7 linked regions of the Sus scrofa genome follow. The protein of the gene in region 1 interacts with the protein of each later gene in a pairwise test. Links are inferred from orthologs where the notes say so. Each region holds a gene or a part of one and is shown in the gene's direction. Other genes may lie near its edges.

Region 1 (4,004 bases):
TCAGGGGTAGGGCGTTTGTGCCTCTCACAATGAAGGGGCCTGACGGCCGGAGCAGGGAGTGGACCCCAATGAGCAATTCCCATATCTGGATGGACCCACAGAGCAGGAGGGCGGGGAGTGGGAGGGGGCGGGGCGGAGGAAGAGCTGGGACCTCTATCTGTTTCCTCCTAAATTGAGAGCATGAGCTTAAGTCTCAGGGAACACTAACCTTGTCTGTTTGGGACAGATGTTGACAGGGCAGGAGGTGGGATAGATCTGTTGCTTAAACTGATAAAAGGAGGGTGCTTCAGTCCCTGGGCCAGCGCCGGTGGATCGTGGGTTTTAGGGTCTGGAAGACCCAGGACAGGACCACATTTTGCTTTCTCTGTTTACTGGCTTTGTGGCTTTGTCTAGTTCATGCAATATGTTTGTACCTCAGCGTCTTTATCTGTAAAATGGAGATGCTGACATCCACCTCCCAGGGCTGCTGTAAGAAGAAAACAAGCCCCAGCATAGATCGTGCTGTGAAGTACAAACTGTGCCCTTCCCTCCCCTCCTCCCCACCTCCCCACCTTCCCACCTCCACACACAAAATAAATAGCTGGAGCTGCACAAAGGGCAGGAAAGAAGCTAATGTTTATGAGTCTGGGATCTGTTGAGGAGGGGGGTGGAAATCATGGAGTCACGTGGCAGGCACAGACTCTACCTCTAATAATGTATCCTCTGGCCGTTCCTTTTCCTGGGTCCCTAAGTGGATGTGCTTATTTTTAGCCCGAGCCAAACACTTGTAGCAGTTAGAGCCCCCCTACAGAGACCTCCTTAATAGTGACCTAAGTGCTGCTAGACTAGGGGGTGGAGATGCATGCCGACCTGACAGGAGGGGCCGTGCGAGGGGAGGGATAGAACAGAGACGCATTGCGGAAAAGGTAGGGGGCCAGTGTGTGGGGCAAGGGGTGGGATCTAGAGGCACTGCGAATCTGTTTGGGGGAGGGGATATAGAGAAAGGGGAGGGATCGCTGTATACTGTCGACCTGGTTGGTGGTGGGGTGGTGTGTTGGCAAAGGGGCGGGATTGCCTCCCACTGCACATGCGCACCTTAGTCTTCAGGACGAAGCTTTTGTTGGGAAAGCAGGCGGGACTCTTATTTGGTCGGTCAGTTCTTGCGCATGCGTACAACCATCTGAGGCGGTGGGTGGTATATTAGGCGAAGAGGCGGGGTCGTCCTAGCTGCCGCGCTGGCATTTTCTCCTGGACAAGGAGAGGGTGCGGCTGCTGAGAGCCGAGCACTGCAATCCCGATCCTCTGAGTCGTGAAGAAGGGAGGCAACGAGGGGGTTGGGGTTGGGGCCTGAGGCAAGGTGAGAATTAGCCCCCAGACAGGGCATCTGCCCCCTGGTGCGGGCCCCCCATTTTTCATCCCAATCCCTTTACCCCGGATTCTGATCCTTCTTCCACTCCCCGAACCCTAATTCACACCCCTCACCCGATCCTCCCTTATTCAGAATCCCTGTTTGCTCTCTGAGCCCCTCCCATCGTTCAGAATTTACAGATTTCTCGACCTCAATCTGTACTGTTATATGATTCCTCCTGATTCGGAAACTCCATTCAGTTTCCCATATGCGAATCCCAGTGCTATCCGCCTGGATTCAGAACTCTTAAATCGGTTTTCCAAACCCCGATTTGAAGCTTCTCCCCGTCGTAGCTTCTAGGGATTCAGAACATCCATCCGGACACCCATTCACTTTTCCCACTCCGATCTGGCCCGTTCCCCTCACATTCAGCACCTCATCCGCCCCCACAATCAAACCTCAAACACCACCGTCTCCCCACATTCATTCCTTCCCATTTACCCTCTGTAGTGTAACGCCTAACTCCTCCCCCACACCCCCCTCCCCAGGCTCTGCTCTTGCCAGAGGGACAAGAACCATGGCTCAGAAAATGGACTGTGGTGCGGGCCTCCTCGGCTTCCAGGTGAGATCTCCACTCCCCACCCCACCATTTCCCCAGCCGACAGTTTCCCCCTTCCCGGGCCCCTTTGGCTATCCAAACGCCTGGATCAGATTGTGCCTTCTTGGTGCCTGGATTCCTTCATTTTTCAAATTCCCATGGTTTATGGGGGAGGGGGCGTCCCTTTCAGCCATCAGTCCCTGCTCAGAGAAAGGGGAGACCCTGTTAGTAGTCAGGGCAATCTGCCCAGAGAATGCGGGTTGGGTAAGGAACCATTTTTTTCCATAGTCCTGATGCTTGTAGAGCTCTTTGCCGCCCCCTCCCCCAGCCTCCTCCACCCTCCCTTCCTCCTGCATTCCCCACCCCTTGCGACCCCCTTATTCTCCTCAACTCCTCCAGGCGGCACTCTTGCTCCACCTCCTCCTGCTCCTGAGCTCCTACCTCACACTGCAATGTTCTGCTCTAACCTCACTCCCAGATCAGCACCTGCCTTCCACTTTGCCCCCCTCACCTCATCGCCGCCCGCCCCATGTTTAACCTCTGCCCCACTCAGCCCCTCTCACACGTTCTGTTATCACTTCATTCCTCTCAGGCCTCTAGATCTCTGCCTCAGCCTTCCTCTCTTTGCACCAGCCGCCCCCCCTGCACCTCCTCTGAGCTACTCCCCCGCTCCCAACCCCACTTTGTGAGGCCCAGAGATTTATTTTTTCCCCTTGTATTTGCAGGCTGAGGCCTCTGTAGAAGACAGCACCTTGCTTATGCAGACCCTGATGGAGGCCATCCAGATCTCGGAGGCTCCACCTACCAACCAGGCCACAGCAGCTGCCAGTGGGCCAAATGCTAGTCCTCAGAGTTCACAGCCCCCATCTGCCAATGAGGTGGCTGATATTCAGGCTTTAGCAGCTGCCACTAAGCCTAAGACAGCCTTTAAGGCCCAGAATGCCACCACAAAAGGCCCAAATGCTGCCTATGATTTCTCTCAGGCTCTTAATGCCAAGGAGATTCCCAGCACACCACCTACGGTAGCCTTTAAGGCCCCAAATGCCCCCTCAAAGGGCCCAAATGCTGCCTATGATTTTTCCCAGGCAGCAACCACCAGTGAGTTAACTGCCAAACCTGAGATGGCCTTTAAGGCCCAGAATGCCACTACGAAGGTGGGCCCAAATGCCACTTACAATTTCTCTCCATCTCTCAATGCCAATGAGATGGTCAACACTCAGCCTAAGACAGCCTTCAAGGCTTGGAATGATACCACTAAAGCCCCAACAGCTGAAACCCAGACCCAGAATATTAACCAGGCCAAGATGGCCACTTCCCAGGCTGACATAGAGGCTGACCCAGGACCAGGTATCTGTGAATCTGATGGTGCAGCTGCACAGACATCAGCAGATGGCTCCCAGGCTCAGAATCTGGAATCCAGGACTATAATTCGGGGCAAGAGGACCCGAAAGGTGAGATCCCTGCTAGTTCCACTTTGCTTTGGGCCTCTCCTTTCTTCTGTGAGGTTGTTCATTTGTTCTAAAACAAAACAATATATAGCTGCCTGTATTCAGCTAGGTTGTAGGGGATGATAAGATGTATGTGATAATTCCTGTCCTCTGAGTGTCCACGGACTAATGGGGAGATGAGACATGGACATGTAATATATCCAGTCTGCATGTAATTCCTTGTGTATTTTGATAGTAGCCATCATGTGTTAGGTCTTGGCCTAGGCACATTCACACAGGTTATCTCACGCACTAAATCTTCAAGATGCTTCATACCGGCTGGGGTCATAGTTTCAGTTTTACAGGGAAGGAAACTAGTTTCCAGAGAGGTGAAGTGACTTGAGTGATTTGTCCAGGGTGGTACAAGCAGAGCCAGTGGTGAACATAGGAAGAGGAGAAGCTTCAGGCCCCACCCTTGGGTTGCTCCTGGCCTGGTTCAGAGATGAAACTCCTGCCTGGAAGACAGTGAAAGACAAGCCCAGGACTCAGGGTGACCATTGGCTAGTGGGTCAGGCTGTCACTACAGGTGAGGGTTTTAGGGGGCCTTCCTGGAATAGATAGGGCAAGGACATAGAAACAGTTGGTGACTCTG
Region 2 (2,574 bases), on another chromosome or scaffold:
AAAGCAAGCACAACCTATAAATTCAACAATAGGGGAAATAGTCTGTTTCTATTAATTATGGTCTGTTTCTATGATGGAATATTATATATCCATTACAAAATATATGTTATCTCTGAGTGGTAGGATTATAGATGATTTTTATTTTATCTTTTCAGTGTAACCCAGATTTCTCTGATCATATTACTTTTAGAGTTAGGAACATAAAGCAGTAAATGCTATTAACAAAAATGGAAGCTCCTAGTCTTTGTCATATAGGTATGCAGGTAAACCACAGGGCCTTCTGAAATGTTTTCCTTTGGATCTGTGTTGATCCAGGTGATCTGTCGGGGAGAAATGTCGAAGCAGGTCAAGAGATGTTCTGCTCAGGTTTCCAGACCTGTGCCCGGGAGGTGCTTCAGTACTTGGCCAAGCATGAGAATACTCGGGACCTGAAATCTTCGCAGCTGGTTACCCACCTCCACCGCGTGGTCTCCGAGCTCCTGCAAGGTGGTACCTCCAGGAAGCCAGCAGACCCAGCTCCCAAAGTGATGGACTTCAAGGAGAAACCCAGCTCCCTGGCCAAAGGCTCTGAAGGCCCAGGCAAAAACTGTGTGCCAGTCATCCAGCGGACTTTCCCTCACTCAAGTGGTGAGCAGAGTGGCAGTGACACAGACACAGACAGTGGGTACGGAGGAGAATCAGAGAAGAGCGAGCTGCGGGTCGAGCAGCCATACTTCAAAAGTGATCATGGACGCAGGTTCACCATGGGAGAAAGGATCAGTGCTATTAAGCAAGAATCCGAAGAACCCCCCACGAAAAAGAGCAGGATGCAACTCTCAGATGATGAAGGCCATTTCACTAGCAGTGACCTGATCAGCTCCCCATTCCTGGGTCCACACCCACACCAGCCTCCTTTTTGCCTGCCCTTTTATCTGATCCCACCATCAGCAACTGCCTACTTGCCTATGCTGGAGAAGTGCTGGTATCCCACTTCCGTCCCAGTGTTATACCCAGGCCTCAACGCCTCTGCTGCAGCCCTCACCAGCTTCATGAACCCAGACAAGATCACAGCCCCCTTGCTCATGCCCCAGAGACTCCCTTCTCCCTTGCCACCCCACCCGGCCATCGACTCTTCTGCCCTGCTCCAAGCTCTGAAGCAGATCCCCCCTTTAAACTTAGAAACCAAAGACTAAACTATTTAGGGGGTACTGCTGTTGTGCTTTCCTTCCACCCTACTTCCCCCCCAAAAAACCCCATAAAAACAGTGTCTGTGAGTACAGCAAGACTGTTCCAGTGTGTATGCCAGGTTTATCAGTGTCAGGAAGAAAAGATTCAGGAGTGTGTGTGTGTGCGCGTGCATATGCACACACTCGTGTGCACATGCATCATGTGTTGGTATGGGACATTAGAGCTCTTTTTGGCATCGGGAGGATGTGAAGGAGTACCTGACATTCTGACATCAGGTGATTTGGGGGGATGGTAGTACGTCTCTGGGCTTTTCCCCACCCAGAGACTATCCCCCTCTGCTACAAATCAGCTGGAGTTTCAAAAGCTTCAAAGTCTTGGTCTGTGAGTCAGTCTTTACTTTGGGAGCCAGGTCTGTGGCTTTGAGAAAAAGGTACTTTCAAAAGAGGGCTTTCCAGAGTGCGGTTCTCAGCCAGCTCTTCTGACCCCACCCTTCTCCCTTTCATTGTCACCGTGACTCACCATATGGGGAGAGGGCAGCCAGACTGAACTTTCTGCAAAGTGGTGAAGTAGCAGACACTGGCATAGCATGGTAGCGGTTTGGGGAGATTTCCACAGGACTGCTCCCCACCCCTGCCTGGATGAATAAAGAGAATGTAGTTCCCTACTCAGGCTTTCATAGCGATTAGCTTCCTAAGGAACTGAAAAAGGCCCCCTGGTACAAGCCCAACTGCCAGGGAAGGAGGGAGAAGCCACCCTGGGCCTCAGGCATCTGTTTTTAGTCTTACTGAGAAAACGGTCTTGCTGTCCAGGGAATCAAAGCAGGGTTAGAGAGATGCAAGCGCCTAAGTTCCCAGAACCCCAAAGTGCATAAAAAGCTGAGTAATAAATTACTGTTTCCACAAGCGAAGCTAGACTCGGTTGTCAGCTCTACCCTCAAGCTCCTTTTAACCAGGCTTAGCTTCCTTAAGGACTAACCAACCCTTGGCATAGCAAGATCCTTTCTGCAGGCTAATTCCCCTTACCCGACGGCATATGGAGTGTCCTTATTGCTAAAAAGGATTCTGTCTCCTTCAAAGAAATTTTATTTTTGGTCCAGAGTACTTTTCTGACTTGTCCAGCTAGCCCTGCACCAGCTTTTTGAAATGCACTATGCTTGATCGCTGACCGTGTTTTAACTTTTTATTTTCCTGTTTTTATTTTGGTATAAAGTTGTTGCCTTTATTTGTAAAACTGTTATAAATATATATATATTATATAAATATATTGAAAAGGAAAGTGTTTCAGATGTTTATTTGTATAATTACTTGATCTACAAAAGTGAGGGAAAATGAATGTATTCCTGTTTTTGAAGAGAAGAATAATTTTTTTTTTCTGAGGGAGAGGTACAGTGTTTATATTTTGAAGCCT
Region 3 (4,021 bases), on another chromosome or scaffold:
TGCAATAGGTGGGATAAGATGCCCGTTTTCCAAGAGACATGCCTATTCGCTGAAAAAAGGGCCTTCTCCAAGCCTGCCCCGCGCCCCACTCGGCCTTTGCTTCCGGCTCCGGTGTTAGGGGTTGCTCTCGCATTTGGCTTTTGGCTTAGGGTTTTGTGGGGGTGATTTGGCCGGCTCCAACCTCGGGAACCGCCAGTAACTGATCTCTTCTTTCATTCGTACTGTCACTGACTCACTAGTCCTCTAATGTAATTCTGTGCATTACAGCAACTTTAACACCCAGTCGTTTACTGTGTACCAGGCAGCGTTCTAAGAGCTGCGCTAGATTATTTCACTTAACTCTCAAAGCTGTCCTATGACACACGTACTATTGAAAAGAGGGTAACCTCTTTGGAAAGCCTAACGTTGATTATCTAGCGGTTCATTGTCAAACAGCTTTGACTTTATAGATTTACGTTGGTTTATATAATTTCCGTTAGAGATTAAGTAGCCTGAAAAGCAGTTATATTAAATAAAAATAACACCTATCCCAAAAAAGGTATGAGTTATAATGCAATACTAGCAATTATCTATTTAGTAAACTAGTCTTCAGAGTTTTCTAAAGTATATGCATGGTGTATGTCATGTACTTCTAAGACCTTTTATACAGATTTGTAAATACTTAAGAACTTGTACTTGAACTTTTTACTAGACTTAAAATGAGAAAACCTACAGTTTGTGTAAAAACAAAAATCTTTAGGATGTTTAAGATCAACCCAAATAATATGATTTGCTCCTAATATTGAAGAGTCATACAGACAAAAAAGATTAACTATAGCTAGACCAATTTTTTAAAAGCAGTGTTAGCCTCTTAGTTTGCCTTTCTCTAAAAATGAAATATTTAAGTACATTAACTTATATTTGATCATGAAAAAATGAATTATCTTGAAATAACTTCTGCCCTTTGAAATAGACACAAAAGTAGCCATGTGATTCTCTTAAAATTCTCTAAATTTGTCAAGTGCCAAGTTTACACTTTGCCTAACTCAAAACGGAGGAAAAATTCTCTAATTTAGAATTAGTGATTTGGCAATCTTTGGCAGACTTCAACAGGAGGGGATACCACTTTAAGAAAATTCCAAGGAAAGGACAACCCTATTTTAAAATTCCCACCTCTGGCTCCCAAGGATTGGGTAGTAAACTTAGACAAAATACTTTTCTCCACTTCCTATTGGTGCGTGCTCTGTCATTCATTCTTCTTGGAATTTTGTGAGATACCAGATTGCTTTACGGGAAAAGACTGTTCCAATTTAGTCTGGAACTGCCCTATTTTTAGACTCTTTCATAGTTATCAATCCTTACAAAAAATCACCAAACCGATACAGCGTGGACCAATCTGGAAAATCAGGCTGCCGAGTCAACAGTGTAATTCAATGGAAAAAGAAACGGACAACCTCTCAAGGCACACAGGGTAACTGACAAAGGATTCTACAGAGTTAAATAAACTATTCTGATTTTTTTTTTTTTTTTTTTGCTAGTTTTAAAGGAGACTGTCAAAGGAAAAGCAGATAAAATACAGCCATAATGTCAGAGTGGCAGGGAGAAAGATTTTCAGAGGCTATTTTTCTCTTTAGAGAAAATGTTATCCTGGGATTAGCAGTGGATTTTTGAATGATAAAAGGACCAAGGTAATACGGTTAATTATAGATTATTTTATACTCCAAGAAGCTGTATTTTGTTGTTGCTTTAATATGGATTTAATGTCTTAATGTTATTGTAATTATCAAGCAAAATGGATATTTTTGTTTAAAACCTAGCATAATAGACAATCCATCTGTTAAAGGATATGACAAAATTATCATCTTTGGAATTGGGTTTTGTTTACATTTGTAGCAGGGTCAGATCGGCTAATGACCAAGGAAAATATAATATTGGTATATGAAACAGAATCAATAGGTAGTGGATGTAAGGATAAATTCTCAAAAGTGAAATCTAGCATTTATATTTTCAAAAATGATATTTTTACTAAAGCTAAAATATAAATGTTCAGGAAAATATTGATAAATGAGAATAATGTATATTAAAATATATATTTGAAATAGCAACTTTTTAAAGAATCCAGCCAATATGTAATTCCAAAATATAACATCTTGAAGATTCTTCAAGATTCAGCTAGTAAATATAATACCTGGTGGCACATCTTTACCTTTATAAGGCCCAACTCAGGTATGCAGTAAATATTTCTTAAGGGTCCTCTGTTAATCTATATATGGGGCTATTAAATAAAATATATTCTTAAGGAGCTCATACTCTAGAAAGAGACTCAAAAAAGATTTAAATGAAAACTTTTGTATAGTTCTTGATGCATAGATGGCTGTTACAGACCATAGCTGCTTCAGGTGCTCAGATCAGTGTGAGCAGAAATATTCAGGGAGAGTTTCAAAGTAGGGTTAAGACCCATTTGGAGCTTGAGCAATGGGCAAAATTTCAATAGATGGAAGAGGAAAGAAATGGCATCCCAGGTAGTGGGGGATTTGTTAGCAAATATGTCCAGCTAAAGAATAATTATCCCTGACACAGCAGAATGTTCATTTGGGGACTTTAGATTTAAAAAAAAAAAAAAAAAGGTTAAGAAGTTACATGAAGAGTCAAAATTGCAAGAATTAAGGAGTCAAGTCCTGGGTCATTGTTTTTTGTTTTTGTTTTTGTTTTTGTTTTGTTTTTTGTCTTTTTAGGGCCATACCCACAGCATATGGAGGTTCCCAGGGTAGGGGTCAAATCAGAGCTGTAGCTGCTGACCTTACACCACAACCACAGCAACACAGGATCTGAGCCACATCTGCAACCTATACCACAGCTCACAGCAATGCTGAATCCTTAACCCACTGAGCAGGGCAAGGGATCCAACCTGCGTCCTCATGGATGCTATTCAGATTCGTTTCTGCTGAGCTGCAACAGGAACTCCGGGTCCTGGGTTTTAAAGGTCATATTTGAGAATGATAAAACTGACATTGCAGGGTTCTCTGCTGGCTCAGTGGCTTAAGGGTTGTTGTGGTTAAGGTTGCTGCTGTGGTGCAGGTTTCATCCCTGGCCTGAGAATTTCCACATGCCATGAGCATAGCCAAAAACATAAAAAGAAAAAAAGATCTGACATTGCAGCTTAAGATGATTCCAGCAACAGAGACTGGAAGCTAAGGGACTAAATACTATAAATGATGGAGCGCAAATTGGTAGCAGTCTCTTGAGACTTTTTTTCCATATACTTTCACATGACTGAATAGGATAAATCTTGATGCATTTCTTTCTATTCTTCTGAAGCAGTGAGCTTATTGTTTTTGTATAGCACTACAGATACAATTTTTATTATATGTGGCGTTCGTCATGGTGCAGTAAAGCAATAAAAGTGATTGTTCACATTGCATTGGTTCTTGCTCCTGTTCCCTCAGAATTTGTAGTGTTTCTTGGTTCTGTTTAATGAAATTGGAGGAATTTCAACCAAAAACCAAAAACTTGTGACTGAAGAACACCATGGGAAGATGGGAGGTGTTCTTACTCAGACTGTAGGCTTTCACCTGACCTGTGTCTTTGAGACACAACTGGCCACTCAGTGAGCTTCTACCATGTATCAGAAGGTAGCTTCAGTGTTGAGCAAACAAAGGTTAATCAGGGGTCATCTCCTCCCCAAAAAGCAAAGTGCTTCAGGGATACCAAGCAGGGTATTTGCCTCCTACCTCAAAACTTGCTTGAAAGAATCTGAAGTTCCTAAATTCCTGATCAGTGGTCCTTAATCAAATAGATGGAGAAGGAGGTTGTCTCTAGCCCTTGTAAAAGAATCCTAAGACAGGCCCCTTAATGATAAATGTGGCAGATTGCAATGCTCATCAAATATTTCATTCACTCCCCTGAATATCCCCCTCTTTGTGGTTAGAGAGCGAGTGAAATGTTAGCAGAAGGGAGGTGTGTCATTTACCGGCAGTGGTGGTGAAAAGCCTGCCCACGATTTTTCAGTCTCTGCTAGTCTACCATGACTCCTGTTGGTGTA
Region 4 (3,500 bases), on another chromosome or scaffold:
GTTTGCTGGGGGTACTCTCATTACTTGAGACTTCATTGAATCATGACACCAAGTTTGACAACTGTTCTACATATTAAATAATGAACATTTAATTAGGCAGATTTAAATGTAGGATTCAGAAGTTCCCCTGTGGTGCAGCAGCTTGAGGATCCAGCATTGCTGCAGCTATGAGGCAGGTGGCAACTGCAGTGTGGGTTCAGTCCCTGGCCCAGGAACTTCCACATGTGGGTATGGCCAAAGAAAAAAAAATGTAGGCTAAACTTTTCATAGCTGTTAGAACAGTTTACACATTGCTGGTAGGGATTTTACTGTTTGTAGTTAATCTTAAAAAAATGATAGTTTGCAAAATTAATTCCACTGTTCTCTTAGGGCACCGTAAATTGGTCTGTCGATGACATTGTCAAAGGCATAAATAGCAACAATTTGGAAAGCCAGCTCCAGGCTACTCAAGCTGCTAGGTAAGCCTTGTCTCTATAGCATGGATAGCCTTTTTAGATTTTTAGATTTTTTTTTTTTTTTTTTTTTTTGGTGGGAAAGAGGTGGTTTGGGTAAAGTCAAAGTTAAGCCATGCATAGGCCTGTTTTCATTAGAATCTTCCCTTGAGAGAATTTAAAGATTTCAGTAATTGCCAAAGACTCCATGCACCTCCACTGATAATGATTATTAGCTTTTTGGTGTATATTTAAGAAAATTACAAAGTTTTTATCAACATGGCATTTTAAGTCAGTGTCAGGGAAGAAGGAATTATTCAGTAAGTGGGATTGGTCCACCCATTTAGGAAATAAGTATATTTTTAGACTCTTATCTCTGTAGACAAATAGTTTTGACATCCATTTTAGCAAGGATTAATAATCTCTGGCTTGACAGTGTGCAGAAAAGCAAATCTAGTTGACAGATGATCATGGAAAAATGTTAAATGAGAGTGTAATGCTATCAGATTGTTAGTTTTTTTTGGATTTTTTTTGTTTTTTGTTTTTGGTCTTTTTAGGGCCACACCTGTGGCATATGGAGGTTCCCAGGCTAGGGGTCTAATCAGGGCTTGTAGCCACCGGCCTACACCAGAGCCACAGAAACACTGGATCTGAGCTGCATCTGCGACCTACACCACAGCTCACGGCAACGCTGGATCCTTAACCTACTGAGCGAGGCCAGGGATTGAACCTGAAACCTCATGATTCCTAGTCGGATTCGTTTCCACTATGCCACAACAGGAACTCCCAGATTGTCAATTTTTTAAAAGTGACAAGACCTAAAGTAGATTTCTGCAGGGATGCATCGAGAAGGGTTCTACATTATTGGTAGTATTTCAGTATGGGGGAAAAAGGTAATTTAAGACATCACATATAATAGCACCATGCAACCAGTCTGTTGAGGTCCTCTTAAATTTTAGGATATCTCAGCACTTAGTGCTTTACTGTAAAAGGTTGTCTAATGCTCTGAACTCCTGAGTTACATTTTAAATTGTTTTTCACTCAAACCTATTTTGTTAATTACCTTCATCTTTTGTTTCTCCTTTTATTTACCCTTAGGAAACTGCTTTCTAGGGAAAAACAGCCTCCCATAGACAACATAATCCGGGCTGGTTTGATTCCAAAATTTGTGTCCTTCCTGGGCAGAATGGATTGTAGTCCCATTCAGTTTGAGTCTGCTTGGGCCCTCACTAACATTGCCTCTGGAACATCAGAACAGACCAAGGCTGTTGTAGATGGAGGTGCTATCCCAGCATTCATTTCTCTGTTGGCATCTCCCCATGCTCACATCAGTGAACAAGCTGTGTGGGCTCTCGGAAACATCGCAGGTACTTGGATTTCAAGTTCTTTTGACTGAATGTCTCTAATACTGAGGTTGGTTGAAGTGCCTTTGAGTTAGGGATTGAACTTGCTTCCAGTGCTTATAAGAGGTAAAAGTGTCATTTATTTATTTTAGGAACTATCTGAGTGTTTCCTTGTATCAAGACACTGGTACTCAGTCAGTGAAATTGATGGTGCTAGACAAGTAGTTATGATTAACCTTGCCTTTTTAAATTTTTTTTAAGGGGATGGTTCCGTTTTCCGAGACTTGGTTATCAAGTACGGTGCGGTTGACCCGCTGTTGGCTCTTCTCGCGGTTCCTGATATGTCATCATTAGCAGTAAGTTACTTAACCATAAGTCAAGTTACTTGTTGATTCTGATTTTGCCCACCCCCTCAAAAAATGGAGAACTTCATTGCATTTTTCTTTTCCCCCAGTGTGGTTACTTACGTAATCTTACCTGGACACTTTCAAACCTTTGTCGCAACAAGAATCCTGCACCCCCCTTAGATGCTGTTGAGCAAATTCTTCCTACTTTAGTTCGTCTCCTACATCACGATGATCCAGAAGTTTTAGCAGATACCTGCTGGGCTATTTCCTACCTTACCGATGGTCCAAATGAACGGATTGAAATGGTTGTGAAGACAGGGGTCGTACCCCAACTTGTGAAGCTTTTAGGAGCCACTGAACTGCCGATTGTGGTAAGTTAATTTTCAAATGAGAAATAAAGTATGAAGAGCATAATCAGTCAGTACTAATATTGACATACTACCTATTTTAGGCCACAATGAGCCTCTTGTCCAGACTTTTAGGGTGTAGCGACTTCGAGCAGTGGTAGAAACGATGAAGGATAACCAGCAACATCAGCATTTTTCCCTTTCCAGACTCCTGCACTAAGAGCAATAGGAAACATTGTCACTGGCACAGATGAACAGACGCAGGTTGTCATAGATGCAGGAGCACTCGCCGTCTTTCCCAGCCTGCTAACAAACTCCAAAACAAATATTCAGAAGGAGGCTACGTGGACAATGTCAAATATTACAGCTGGTCGCCAGGACCAGATACAGCAAGTTGTAAATCATGGATTGGTCCCATTCCTTGTTGGCGTTCTCTCGAAGGTAAGAAGCCTTAGGCCTTCATAAAGGATTGCTTCCAGAGGCCACTTGGTAGAACTGTACTTCATAAGGTTCTTAATGTACTAATGTTAGGTCCTACTTATAGTCTTTTGCTAAATAATAGTCAGATGGTAGTTTTAGTCACTATTTTTCTAAAAGAGTACTTTTGGAATCTTATTTTTATGCCCATTCTGAAATACACCTGTTTTCTTGTGTTTATTAGGCAGACTTTAAGACACAAAAGGAAGCTGTATGGGCTGTGACCAATTACACAAGTGGTGGAACAGTTGAACAGATCGTGTACCTTGTCCACTGTGGCATAATAGAACCATTGATGAACCTCTTAACTGCAAAAGATACCAAAATTATCCTGGTTATTCTGGATGCCATTTCTAATATCTTTCAGGTAAGTTGCCTTTTTTTTTTTTTTGGCCACACCCTTGGCATGCAGAAATTCACAGGTCAGGGATCAAAGCTTAGCCTCAAAAGTGATGACACTAGAGGTTTGGTGGGTTTTTTTTGTTTTTTGGTCTTTTTTTAGGGCCGCACCGGTGGCATATGGAGGTTCTTAGGCTAGGGGTCGAATTGGAGCTG
Region 5 (3,500 bases), on another chromosome or scaffold:
TCTCGTTCTGATAAATGTGTATGGAAATTCGACCTTTTCATTTGACTGGCAGTTCTTCCCTGGAGCAGGAGAGCATCTAGGATGGATTTTAGAGCTGAGTTACCACATCCAAATGGGGCACAATGAGAACTCGGAGGCAGCTTGTCATACAAGCAGGTTGGGAACAGAGATCACAGAACCAGGAGGAAAGTCATCTCAAAAGACTTCCTGAACGAGGGCCGGCGTCTCTGGTCTGGAGGTGCCAGGAGCAGGAAAGGTAGCTGACTTGGGACAGACAAACACTGGACAGTTTGCAGTTTCACACTGGGGATTCTAGGGAAAATTGAGAGGTGGTCATAAAGACAGTGCTACAGACTGAGAGCAGGAGTATCTTACTGGAACCAGCGGCCCCTGTTGCTCCAGTGAGACGACACATGGACACATTCTCAAATCTATGGGGTCTGCTGGTGCCAGTCAGGAAAGACTGCAACCTGGATTTTTAGTGCTAATGACTTTTTTTGTTCTAAAACTTAGAGATTTTATGTTAATGTGGGGGTACATTGTTTTCTTTTTCAGGGGAAGTCCAAAACAATACCCTGCTTTAATCCTAACACTTTATTACCAGGTAAGCGTTCATCTGGCTGCGTAAGATGAATTTGAACTGTGAAGATGACTGCTTTGTTACCCTCAGGATATATACAGCTATATCTTATTAGCTAATAAAGTGTCTCTACTATTGATATTCTCTGTATCTGGCACCAATTTCAGATTTCTCTAAACCTGGCAGTAAACCTTTTGATATAATAAATACTTTGCCACTAGCTCCATTGTGTTGTGTTTGTATTTTCAAAAGTGTTTCCTTTGTATTTTCATTTGTGCAAGTGATGACCTCTGTGTAAAGCACGAGTATAATAACTTAACCTTGTTGTGCATCTAAGATTGGCCAGCGAAGTTCTTACTAATCTCTGGCATGAAATAAACTTTATATCTAATTTTAAAAGATAACCTCTTTGCAGTCATGCTCTTTAGCTCTTATTCTAAATACTTAGGTATGTCCGAACAGGTAAGAGGTATGTACAAAATACTCAGAGTATACTTTTTAGATAGAGGTTGTTTTGGATAAAATTATGATCTTCACACTTCTCTGCTTAAATTATGTGAAAATTGTTAGGGTTCCAAACGAAACCGAATGCATTATATCTTCTCCTTTTTACATTTAATTGCTCTACAATGAACCAGTTTTTGCCATATGTTGAATATTTGCCCATCATGTTTAATCACAAATTCCTCTCACGGAGAGCTAAAAGGTTTCATAAGAATGATTTCTTTTATTCTATTATAATATGATTTTAATGTTTCTCTGTTGAGGAAGAATATAGAGGTAGTTAGACCAGAATGGTTATACACGTAGATTCTTTTTTTTTTTTGTCTCTTGTTTTTATTTAAAAAATTAGACATAGGATTTAGCATTCTTAAAAGACCCAAAGGCTCTAATTATCACACCCAGGAAGAATTCACACAATCTCTTACTTTAAATTCCAGAAGTTACAGATTATTGAGTTGTTGTTCTTGTTGCATTTTACAGGGATATTTATTTTAACTCAACTTTTTCAAAGGTCATTTAAATACACAGACTCTGAAACCAGACTGCTTTGGTTAGCCCAGAGGTCTTGGGCATATAACATAATCCTCTGTGAGTCAGTTTCCCCATCAGAGAAATGGGGCTAATAAAAGGACCGATCTCACTAATTAATGTAAAATGTTTAGAAGAGCATTTCACATGTAGTAAACATTCAGTAAATATTAGGTACAATCAGTCAGGTAAATCCTCCAATAAGGTAAAAAACCCCCCAAACTGTGGATATACTTCTCCTCAAGTGAGCAAACTTGATATATAAAATATACATCAAGTGTGTATATATATCACATAGTATATCAAGTTTATGTATATTCCGTTTGTATAGTCATAGTTAAGCGTGTATATAATTAATTGATAGAAATCACTGTAAATAATAGAAAGAGCATTCACCATGTTTTCTACTGATTATTTTCTCCTTATGATCAGTTTAAAAATACATATGCGAGGTTCTAGTTTAAAAATGGCATCAGCCTGTTATTTGGACAGTTTGTAATTTTGAGAATGGTTGGAATCTTCAAAATTTTTTTCAATTACCTTGCCTTCCCATGACATACCCTGTGGTTGGTTTGCACAGATCCTCTGCTGCGGGATTACTGGGTTTACGAAGGCTCCCTCACTATCCCGCCTTGCAGTGAAGGTGTGACCTGGATATTATTCCGATACCCTTTGACGATATCCCAGCTACAGGTGAGTGCAGTGCGTTCTTCCAGAAGGAAGGTCAAATGTCGTTTCTGGGAAGGGGCAGCATCTGCTTATGCTCAGGCTCCCTTTGGGTCAGTTAGAGCAGTCACACCTTTTCAGATGAAAGTCCAGTGCCTTGAACCAGTGAAAGCAATTTGAAAGGTCAAGGATGAACAAAACCCAGTAAATAGCCAATAATACCCAATCTGTGGTGTTAGAAGTCAGTTTTTATAGAGTAAATAGAAGTCACTGAAACAGTCAGACTTCTGATTCGTCTAGTTTTTCCTTTATATGGATTTTCCCAGGCATTGGAGAGGAGAAATGGAGGTAAAGTGAGAATGCCAGTTATTTCTGCAAGCCACACTCGAGCTTTGTAATAGTTCTTCCTTGGCTTACACAGGAAGGTTCTGTATGCAGAGGGTGAGGGAGAACTTCTGGAATGCCCTGGAAAGTTCTGGATTTGCCTTACATGTGGGCCTGTAGCCAGCCGGAAGGGGTGTGAAAGAACTCAAGGGGGATTTTTTTTTCTTTTCTCTTATGGTTTATTACTAGATATTGAACATAGTTCCTTGTGCTATGCAGTAGGACCTTGTTTATCCTTCTATATATAATAGTTTGTATCTGCTAGTTCCAAACTTCCAGTCCAATGCTCTCGTGCCCTCCCCACTCCAAAAAAAAAGGTCCCACAAGTCTATTCTCTATGTCTGTGAGTCTGCAGGTGGTGTACAATCTTAGATGACTAAGCATTCCCAAAGCACTGAGTTTTAATGTACAATATGTTTTATGATGCTGGAGATACATTTCCTGGCCTTTAAATGTCATTGACTCTGTTAATACACAGTATTTACTGGATATAATAACAATCTATGTCGTAGTCCTATTTTTTTTTTTTTTTAATCCTTGACGTGGGCTAATGTTAACATGTGATATTACTCCTTTGAGACTGAGCTGGTAATTTATTATTTCATGCATTGATTCATTTGGTGATTACTTGACATTTAGTATGTATAAGATACCATAGTAGGCATTGATGGTGGAGAACAAATAAGACGTACCCCTGACCTCCTAGAATTCACCGTGGGGGGGGGAAGGCAATAGGTTCACATTTAAAACCCAATAATTTCATGAGGACAGTGCCTTGGTATGGCATGCGCAGCCTGGGATCACATAGGAAAGGCACCTGGATGAGATTCAGCCATTT
Region 6 (4,234 bases), on another chromosome or scaffold:
ATATTGGCACTGGGCCAACCAACATTATTATACCACACACTAAAAGCCAAACAGTCCTCATTGAGACAGCAAAAAAATGATGTCTTCTCAGTGTGATTTGTGATTTTTAATTTTGATTTTTTTATGTGTTTACTTTTTAAATAGGCATCTTAATCTAGAATTAATTTCTTTGCTCTTTGGGTACTCTACTAGGGATTATAACATAATAAATATAGCATAACTAAGAAATGTAATAAAACCTTCAGGATTTTATTTCTTAGAATACTAAAAAAAAATGAGAGCATCTTTATGTTTGAGAAGAACATCATAAACTCATCAAACATTCCCATAGGTTACTTTGTTTGAATATTTAATAACAGAAAATAGGGAGATTATGATGCTTATATTCAGAGGTTAAAGACTTTTCCAAGATCACTTATAAAGGGGAGAATTAGGACTTTGACCAGGACTTTTGGACTGAATCATACCTTTGATGCTTTTTTTCATTACGACTTTTTACTAAGAGAACTTAGAAGAAACTCTTATATTCAGTGAACATTCTCCCAAACCTTCTGCATCTAATAAGCACTCTAGAGTAACGGTCAGTAGTTACAGTAATGGCACAAATGTCATGGTATATATGTCAGTGTCTGTAAGAAAGGGTTTATGTTTTTCAGTAGCAGCTGAGATGCAGAAGGCTGGGGAACACAAAGGGCACATTCTGAGTTAACTACAGTTTTTAATAAAGCTGGAAGCCTTGAGCAGTCCAATTTGTATCCACCTTAAGTTTCTTAAGCAATCACCTTTTTCAGATCCCCCTGATTTTTTTTTACAGTAGAAAAAATAAGCTCTTAAATTACCTCCCTTCTTTTTCAGTCCTTTGCAGCCATTAGACTGGTTTAGGACAAGCAGGTTCTTGCATATTTCCATTCCTTGAAAACCTTCCAGTCACGGAGCAGCTTTTCTCATCTTTTATTAAATCCACTGCATCTGTAGACTGTACATCAGTGGAAATGTTTTTTTAAAAATAATTTCTCTTTCATTTATTTATTATCAGATATTCTTAGATGGAATATTTTAAATCTGTATTAACTGTGGTAAGCTGCCGTGAATACTTCCTGTGTATATAATTAATGCCACCATCGCAGATACTCACTCCTTAAAATATGCCTGCACATGGCGCCTGCCCTTCCCTCTCTCCCCCTCCTTCCCTCCTCCTCCCTCTCTCCTCCCTCTCTCTCTCTCTCTCTCTCTCACTCACACACACACACACACACACACACACACACCACGCACGCACGCGCAAAGCACACACCAAACTGCCATTCTCCAGCAGGCCTGTTTCTGGAGTTGGGAGATGTCAGCCTGCGGGGAGGGGGCGGGGGGAGGAGGAAGAGGTGGGGCTCTACTCTGATTAATTACCTTCGGCATTCAGGGGTGGGGCTTCCTTCAGCCATCTGCCTGAGATATGGGAGGGAGCTGGAGAAAGGAGGAGGGGGAGAGACTGCCAGAGAGGAAGAGAAAAGAAAGGAAGAAACACTAGAAAGAAAAAGGAAGGAAAACGGGATAGAGGGAGAGCAACCGCCCACCCTTAAAGAGCTAGGCTGGGGGGGGAGGGGGGAGGAAGGAGAGCCGTGGAAGGTGTGCCCCAGCACGACTGCTCTGAAGTGTTCATCTTCTGTGCCATTCGGTTTATGGAGAAGAAGAAAATGGTAACTCAGGTAAGATTTGTGTTTCCTCCTGTGTTTCTTTTCTTGTTTCTGAGATCTAAATAAAGATATGGGGGTGGGGCATAGTCACCAGAGTTTTAATTTATTAACCTTTTAGAAAGGGACAGAATTATTGCTAGCAGCTGAAAAGTGTTCGTCTGTGCCTGTCGTGAGTCGTGTGTGTGTGTGTGTTGTGTCCGTATCCTTTTTTCTCCCCCCCTCCCCAGCTCCGTAGCAGATTCCTGTTTCCTGTGCTGTGCAGCTGGAGCTCAGTTAAGACCCTGTGGGGATTGGTCTACCTCTTTGTCTTGGTTCTGAGGAGAGGGAGGGAGGGAGGGACCACAGAGGTAGGGAGAGATTCTTGTAGACTGCCAAAAAGAGGGCAAGGGAGCTCACTTCCTTTTAAGAATTGCAGAAGAATTTGCGTTAGAGGGAAATCTCATTCCGGATTCACTTCGGGTTCTCGGGATTGGCTGTGGAATTGTAGTTCTGCTCCCTTTGCTTTAAATGGCTTATTAAAAATGAAGGCTGGAAAAATGTTTCATTTTCGTGTCTTTGTTACTGGCAGAGGATGTTTTCAGTGAGAGCCGTAGCATCCAGGTGCAGCAGAGCCCTCCCTGGCAGAAGAACAAGTCTGAATGTATAAATGACAGTCCACGGGCATTAAAAGACATCTGAAGGAGAGGGAGTAGGAAATGAAAGCGCGCTCTCTCTCTGTCTGTCTCTGCCTGTCTTTGGCTATGCCAGGCAATAGCTGCATTTTAGCAAGTCATTCCTGACAGATGGAAAGGTGAATATTCTTCCCTGATTTCCCCCGGCAGTGCTCTTTTTCTTCTTGGCAACCTTCTGTATGTCCCTTTATGCTTTTTTCTTTATATGTGGGTTGAGAGACTGATTTATCAATGAGGATTATTTGCATTGTGGCACATTCATGTCATTTAAGCTCAGACTTAGGATCAGTTTCACTCCAGGCTTTTATGCTCTGTAGGGAAATTTCATCACTGGACAGTGGTTTTCCTTTTAAGGAGGTTGCCTTTTTTTTTTTTTTTTTTTTTTTTTTTTTTTTTTTAATATTCTCTTGTCTCGTTTCTTAAGTCACCACCGGAGGGCGAGAGAGTCAGCTGGCTATCTGGGTAGAGCATCATTTTAGGAGCTGGAACCCTGTCCAGTTAAATGTTATATAATGCCCCGCAGTGCTGTTTGGAAGGAGGTAAGGCGTTAGGGAGATTTTCCCAATGTGACCTAGAGGAAAGGGAAGTTTCAAAGAATAATATCTTTCCAAAGTCAGTTTTTTTTGTTTTAGCAGTTGCTCTTCCACTTTCTTATCCCTTCATCGTTAGCCTGATTAACTCGTTAATCAAAACATTGCTCTGCCTTTTAAAAAAGAGAAAACGTGTTTCTGGCTTGTCTTTGTTGCTTGGGAGACAATACTTCTTAACCCGGGAGCCCACATCCAGCTTTCCTTAACTGCCATATTAGAGGGTACAAGCGCTCTTTCTCAGCTACTACCAAAGCCTTTTCAACTACTTAACTTTCCATTATAGATGTTTTTAAATCAGTGAAAGAGTTATCTAAGCTAGGACTTTTTAGAATCAGAGGCTTTCCATGGCCTGTTGGAGCATTTCCCCTGAGTTCTAGAAGAGCAAGTGTGTACAAGCCCAAGTTAGGGTGCACAAGCATTTGCACACCTAGTATTGTGCGCTTAATAATCAGTATTGAAGGAAACTATAATTTTAGGAACGAAGCAGAAGAGATAAGTAGGAACTGGGAAGAGGGATTTCTTTTTTTTTTTTTTGGTGGTTAAGAATTCTAGTAGATTAAAATCATGATTTTCTCAGTGCGTGTGAAGGCTGAAGAAGTAACTCATTTTTGCCTATGCTGAATTTATACAAAGTATAGAACATCAATTTGTGAATTTTCACTATGCCAGCATGTTTGTTTTTTGTATACACTTTCTATGTTAATGTAACATACATAGTTGATAGTAATCTAGAGGGGGAAAAATCAAAGGAAATAACCCATAGGCCAGATTTTTATTTGTCCAGGTGATAGGCACGTGGGTTCAAGTCCCAGTCTGAGTTCTGGCTGGGTTCAAGTCATAGTGTTGTCAGTTTTGCTATGGATTTTTTTCTGAGGAGGGGTTATCCTATTTGTTGTTGAAAGGGAAAGTGTACTAGGCCTAAAGGGGTTTCTTTGGTTTTTGTTTTTCTGAGCCAGACCTCAAATCCCACGATTTGGTAATGATATGTCACATAAGCTTTCTGAATAGAAATTATCTGCAGTGTTTAGGGTTCAGTTATCAAAATTAAACAGTCTATTGGGGTCTTTAGTGTCTTAACTAGTATATTAGGAAAAGTATTTAGCTATCTTTTCACTCTTTTGTCACCGGGTTCCTTTCTTTAACACCTCTCTCTGTCCTGTACTATCCATCGCTTACTCGGTGCCAGAAGGTGAAGGACCTTCAGCAGATGACGTTCTTGTCACACAGTTAGGTGCACACTGTGCAGGCTTTACTATGTAGGCTCTGGTTTTATGAGGCTGGGTTT
Region 7 (3,500 bases), on another chromosome or scaffold:
TGCACAGTATGTGTCTGCTACTAGGGTATGGGTTATAGGGCTCCAAAAAAGGGTAAAATGTTTCTGTTTGTAAAGGAGCTTGTATTTTTTTTCCCCCTTATCTGACAGTTCTTAGGGAAGGACATAGGTATAATTTTTGAAAAGGCTATTATTTATCCTGAATTTCTTACTGGCCTTTTTTCCTGATTTTACAAACAAAAATATAAACAAGTACAAAGAAATGAAATTATAATCCTGTATTCAGAGATACTCTCAACCTTCCAGACTATATGCACATAAGTGTTTTCCTGTTCTGTATATTTTAGGCCTTATTAAGTATAGATAAAATGGAAACAAGTTTTTGCTTATTCCTTTTATAGATACTGTGGATGGTAGGGAAGAAAAGCCTGCTGCTTCTGATTCTTCTGGAAAACAGTCTACTCAGGTGATGGCAGCAAGTATGTCAGCTTTTGATCCTTTAAAAAACCAAGATGAAATCAATAAAAATGTCATGTCAGCATTTGGCCTAACAGATGATCAGGTTTCAGGTAAGTTAGTGCCTTCCTCCATCCTTTATTTCCTTTCTCCGTCTTTCCCTCCCATTCCTTCTTTCCTTCTTAAATAGAAGATAACTTGGATATGGTGAAGTGCTTAGATCTTAAAGGCAGTTGTATAAATGTTTTACATATGTATACACCTATAAAAAACACCAACTTGATCAAGATGTAGGTGGTTTCCAGCACCTTGGAAAGCTTTCTCATGCTCTCTCCCAGTCAGTAGAACCCTCCTCCTCTTTAGAGAATAACCTTTGTACACAGTTTAGGTACATTGTATTAAAAGTAGAATTCAGGGGGTATGTTATTTTAAAAATCTGAGTCATTTTATAGTCTTCAGATTTATTGCCAGATTTAAGTTATATTTGATGTTTTATTCTCTTCTGATCTTAAATTAGGAAAATTTATTTTATTTTATTTTGTCGTTTGTCTTTTTAGTGCTGCACCCATGGCATATGGACGTTCCCAGGCCAGGGGTCAAATTGGAGATGTAGCCACCGGCCTACACCACAGCCACAGCAACATGGGATCCGAACCGTGTCTGTGGCCTATACCACAGCCACGGCAATGCTGGATCCTTAACCCACTGAGCGAGGCCAGGGATTGAACCCGTGTCCTCATGGATGCTAGTCGGGTTCGTTAACCACTGAACCACGACGGGAACTCCCAAATTAGGGAAATTTAAAAGTAGATTTCTGATTAGATTGTTTTAGTGTAGAAAGTCCTTTTATGTGAATGTTTTTAACCTTAAAACAGCATCTATACTGTGCTTTCTTTTTATATTTTGGCCAGCATTTTTACTGCCTTCTTCTTTGGGGATTTCAGTTACACATACATTGGGGAGCTTAGTATTGTCCCATGGGTTTCTGAGATTCATTTTTCTTCATTCTTTGTTCTTCAGATCGGATGATTCCTATTGATCTCCCTCAAGGTCACTGATTTTTTCCTTCCATTTCCAATCTGCTGTTGAACCTTTCTAGTGAATTTTTCATCTCAATTATTGTTCTTTTAGCTTTAGAATTTCCATATGGTTCTTTTATAATTTTATTTTTCTCCTTTGATTCCTTATCTTTTCATTCATTAAGATTGTATTTCCCTTTAATTCATTGAAGATATTTTTGTTTAATTCTCTATAAAAAATATTTATAAAGCTGCTTTGAAACATTTGCTGCGTCCAGCATCTGGGCCTATTTGAAGTCACTTTCTTTTGCTTGCCTTTTCCCTTGAGTATGGGTCACATTCTTATTTGTTTGCATGTCTGATGGTTTTTTGTTTGTTTTTTGGAGTTTGTTTTTTGGCCAAGCCTGAGACACCTGGAAGTTCCAAGGCCAGGGATTGAACTTATACCACAGCAGCCACCCAGGCCACTGCATTGACAATGCTGGATCCTTAACCCACTACACCACAGGGGAACTCCTAATAGTTTTTGACTGTAAACTGGATATTGTGGTTGTTGTTGTAGTGACTTGGAATTCTTCAGCATAATGCTCTCTCCACTGAGCTATTTCATCAAAGACTTGGGATTCTTTTAGGTTCTTGTGAGGATTTTTTGTTACTGTTGCTCTAGTAGGGAGTTGACTTACATTTACTCAGACTACTTCTTTTTCCCCAGGGGATTATAGAAGCTGATAGCTCTGCTCAGTCCTTTCAGTTCTAGGTGCTGCCTTTTCTTCTATGCCCTCGAGGGTGTCACTCTCTCCCCGCCTAACTGCACGGTCACTTGGGAACTTGGGGCTGAGCTTATACTCAAATTTTAGGTCTCATTCCTTCAGTGACTTCCCTACCAAAGGATTTTTCCCCTTCAAATTCCTATCTGCTTGCTCTGTGGCTTTCTGCTATTGGAGCTGCAGAGGTTGGGGTTTGCAATTTTTAGCCATTATAAGTCCAGTGGGGGTAAACTCTTTTCTGGTGTCTTCTGACATTTTGTTAACCTCCAGTAATCAAATAGCTGTTTTATTGTATTTTATCCAGGTTTTTAAGTTGTTACTTGTGGGAGGTTTTACCTGAGCAGTTTGTCATTGTCAGTAACTGGAAAAATAGGATTTTGTCTATTAATTTTCTTTCTTTTTGAGACTTTTATGGGATTATTTATTAAAGAGAATTGTGTGAAACTCTGAGTTAAGACAGATAATTGTATATGACGTATGTTCGTGGTGGAGTAAGATACCAAGATAAGACAGTCCTGGAGTTCCTGTTGTGGCTCAGTGGTTGACAAATCCAACTAGGAACCATGAGGTTGTGGGTTCAATCCCTGGTCTCCCTCAATGGGTTAAGGATCCGACATTGCTGTGAGCTGTGGTGTAGGTTGCAGACTTTGCTTGGATCCTGCGTTGCTGTGGCTGTGGTGTAGCCGATTAGACCCCTAGCCTGGGAATTTCATATGCCGCAGGTGCAGCCCTAGAAAAGACAAAAAAAAAACAAAAAAAAAAAGATAAGACAGTCCATCTGAAAAACACACATTTAGAACAATTGAAATAAGTTAATATTATAGCTTCTTAATATTTAAGACTTCAAGATATGGCAGATAGAAGAGTAAATAAAATAGTTATATATAAGGTCAGGCTTAAAAGTTTTCATTAGAATATGGTATAGACTAGAATAATATGATTCACATTATATTTGAAGACTTTTTCTGGTAGCTTTGTATGTTGAACTGAAGTAAGGAAGACTGTACACATAGAAAATGCCAGGATACTTTGTAGTCACTTAGGTTATGATGTGGTGAAAAACTTGGCTGCAGTAGTGAATGTGGACATGGGAAGGAGGAGGGATGGAGTATTATGACAGAATGAGCAACATTAACTAATAGCTTACATACAAGACAGAAAAGAGGAATCAAAGTAATATATATATTTTTATGATAATACCATAGTGTTTTTGTATTATCTTTGTTGTCCTTCTTAGGAGGGATGTGTCTGTATGTATTTATTTGTCTACATGTTGATAAATATCAGTATAATGGTGGTA

The links.
Region 2: the proteins of MAGED1 (region 1) and BHLHE40 interact in binary tests that used the Homo sapiens proteins (3 or more experiments, as listed by UniProt). The two-hybrid records come from large-scale screens. The link is inferred for Sus scrofa from reciprocal best matches to the Homo sapiens genes MAGED1 and BHLHE40.
Region 3: the proteins of MAGED1 (region 1) and TTC23 interact in binary tests that used the Homo sapiens proteins (3 or more experiments, as listed by UniProt). The two-hybrid records come from large-scale screens. The link is inferred for Sus scrofa from reciprocal best matches to the Homo sapiens genes MAGED1 and TTC23.
Region 4: the proteins of MAGED1 (region 1) and KPNA2 interact in binary tests that used the Homo sapiens proteins (3 or more experiments, as listed by UniProt). The two-hybrid records come from large-scale screens. The link is inferred for Sus scrofa from reciprocal best matches to the Homo sapiens genes MAGED1 and KPNA2.
Region 5: the proteins of MAGED1 (region 1) and CA8 interact in binary tests that used the Homo sapiens proteins (3 or more experiments, as listed by UniProt). The two-hybrid records come from large-scale screens. The link is inferred for Sus scrofa from reciprocal best matches to the Homo sapiens genes MAGED1 and CA8.
Region 6: the proteins of MAGED1 (region 1) and RBFOX2 interact in binary tests that used the Homo sapiens proteins (3 or more experiments, as listed by UniProt). The two-hybrid records come from large-scale screens. The link is inferred for Sus scrofa from reciprocal best matches to the Homo sapiens genes MAGED1 and RBFOX2.
Region 7: the proteins of MAGED1 (region 1) and TFG interact in binary tests that used the Homo sapiens proteins (3 or more experiments, as listed by UniProt). The two-hybrid records come from large-scale screens. The link is inferred for Sus scrofa from reciprocal best matches to the Homo sapiens genes MAGED1 and TFG.

Annotation. Positions count from the first base shown.
Region 1 is NC_010461.5:45,321,335-45,325,338, forward strand, and holds the start of MAGED1 (melanoma-associated antigen D1), read left to right. Parts: upstream 1-1,204; 5' UTR 1,205-1,336; intron 1,337-1,875; 5' UTR 1,876-1,904; coding exon 1,905-1,949; intron 1,950-2,650; coding exon 2,651-3,376; intron 3,377-4,004. UniProt on the Homo sapiens protein: Involved in the apoptotic response after nerve growth factor (NGF) binding in neuronal cells. Inhibits cell cycle progression, and facilitates NGFR-mediated apoptosis. May act as a regulator of the function of DLX family members.
Region 2 is NC_010455.5:61,531,012-61,533,585, forward strand, and holds the end of BHLHE40 (class E basic helix-loop-helix protein 40), read left to right. Parts: intron 1-315; coding exon 316-1,172; 3' UTR 1,173-2,074; downstream 2,075-2,574. UniProt on the Homo sapiens protein: Transcriptional repressor involved in the regulation of the circadian rhythm by negatively regulating the activity of the clock genes and clock-controlled genes.
Region 3 is NC_010443.5:137,994,402-137,998,422, reverse strand, and holds the start of TTC23 (tetratricopeptide repeat protein 23), read left to right. Parts: upstream 1-1,221; 5' UTR 1,222-1,450; exon of another isoform or gene 1,451-1,667; intron 1,668-4,021. UniProt on the Homo sapiens protein: Participates positively in the ciliary Hedgehog (Hh) signaling.
Region 4 is NC_010454.4:14,289,592-14,293,091, forward strand, and holds part of KPNA2 (importin subunit alpha-1), read left to right. Parts: intron 1-369; coding exon 370-458; intron 459-1,529; coding exon 1,530-1,798; intron 1,799-2,035; coding exon 2,036-2,130; intron 2,131-2,228; coding exon 2,229-2,492; intron 2,493-2,675; coding exon 2,676-2,909; intron 2,910-3,129; coding exon 3,130-3,312; intron 3,313-3,500.
Region 5 is NC_010446.5:73,110,367-73,113,866, forward strand, and holds part of CA8 (carbonic anhydrase-related protein), read left to right. Parts: intron 1-555; coding exon 556-604; intron 605-2,192; coding exon 2,193-2,305; intron 2,306-3,500. UniProt on the Homo sapiens protein: Does not have a carbonic anhydrase catalytic activity.
Region 6 is NC_010447.5:11,807,716-11,811,949, forward strand, and holds the start of RBFOX2 (RNA binding protein, fox-1 homolog (C. elegans) 2), read left to right. Parts: upstream 1-1,434; 5' UTR 1,435-1,673; coding exon 1,674-1,700; intron 1,701-4,234. UniProt on the Homo sapiens protein: RNA-binding protein that regulates alternative splicing events by binding to 5'-UGCAUGU-3' elements. Prevents binding of U2AF2 to the 3'-splice site.
Region 7 is NC_010455.5:158,302,903-158,306,402, reverse strand, and holds part of TFG (protein TFG), read left to right. Parts: intron 1-359; coding exon 360-527; intron 528-3,500. UniProt on the Homo sapiens protein: Plays a role in the normal dynamic function of the endoplasmic reticulum (ER) and its associated microtubules. Required for secretory cargo traffic from the endoplasmic reticulum to the Golgi apparatus.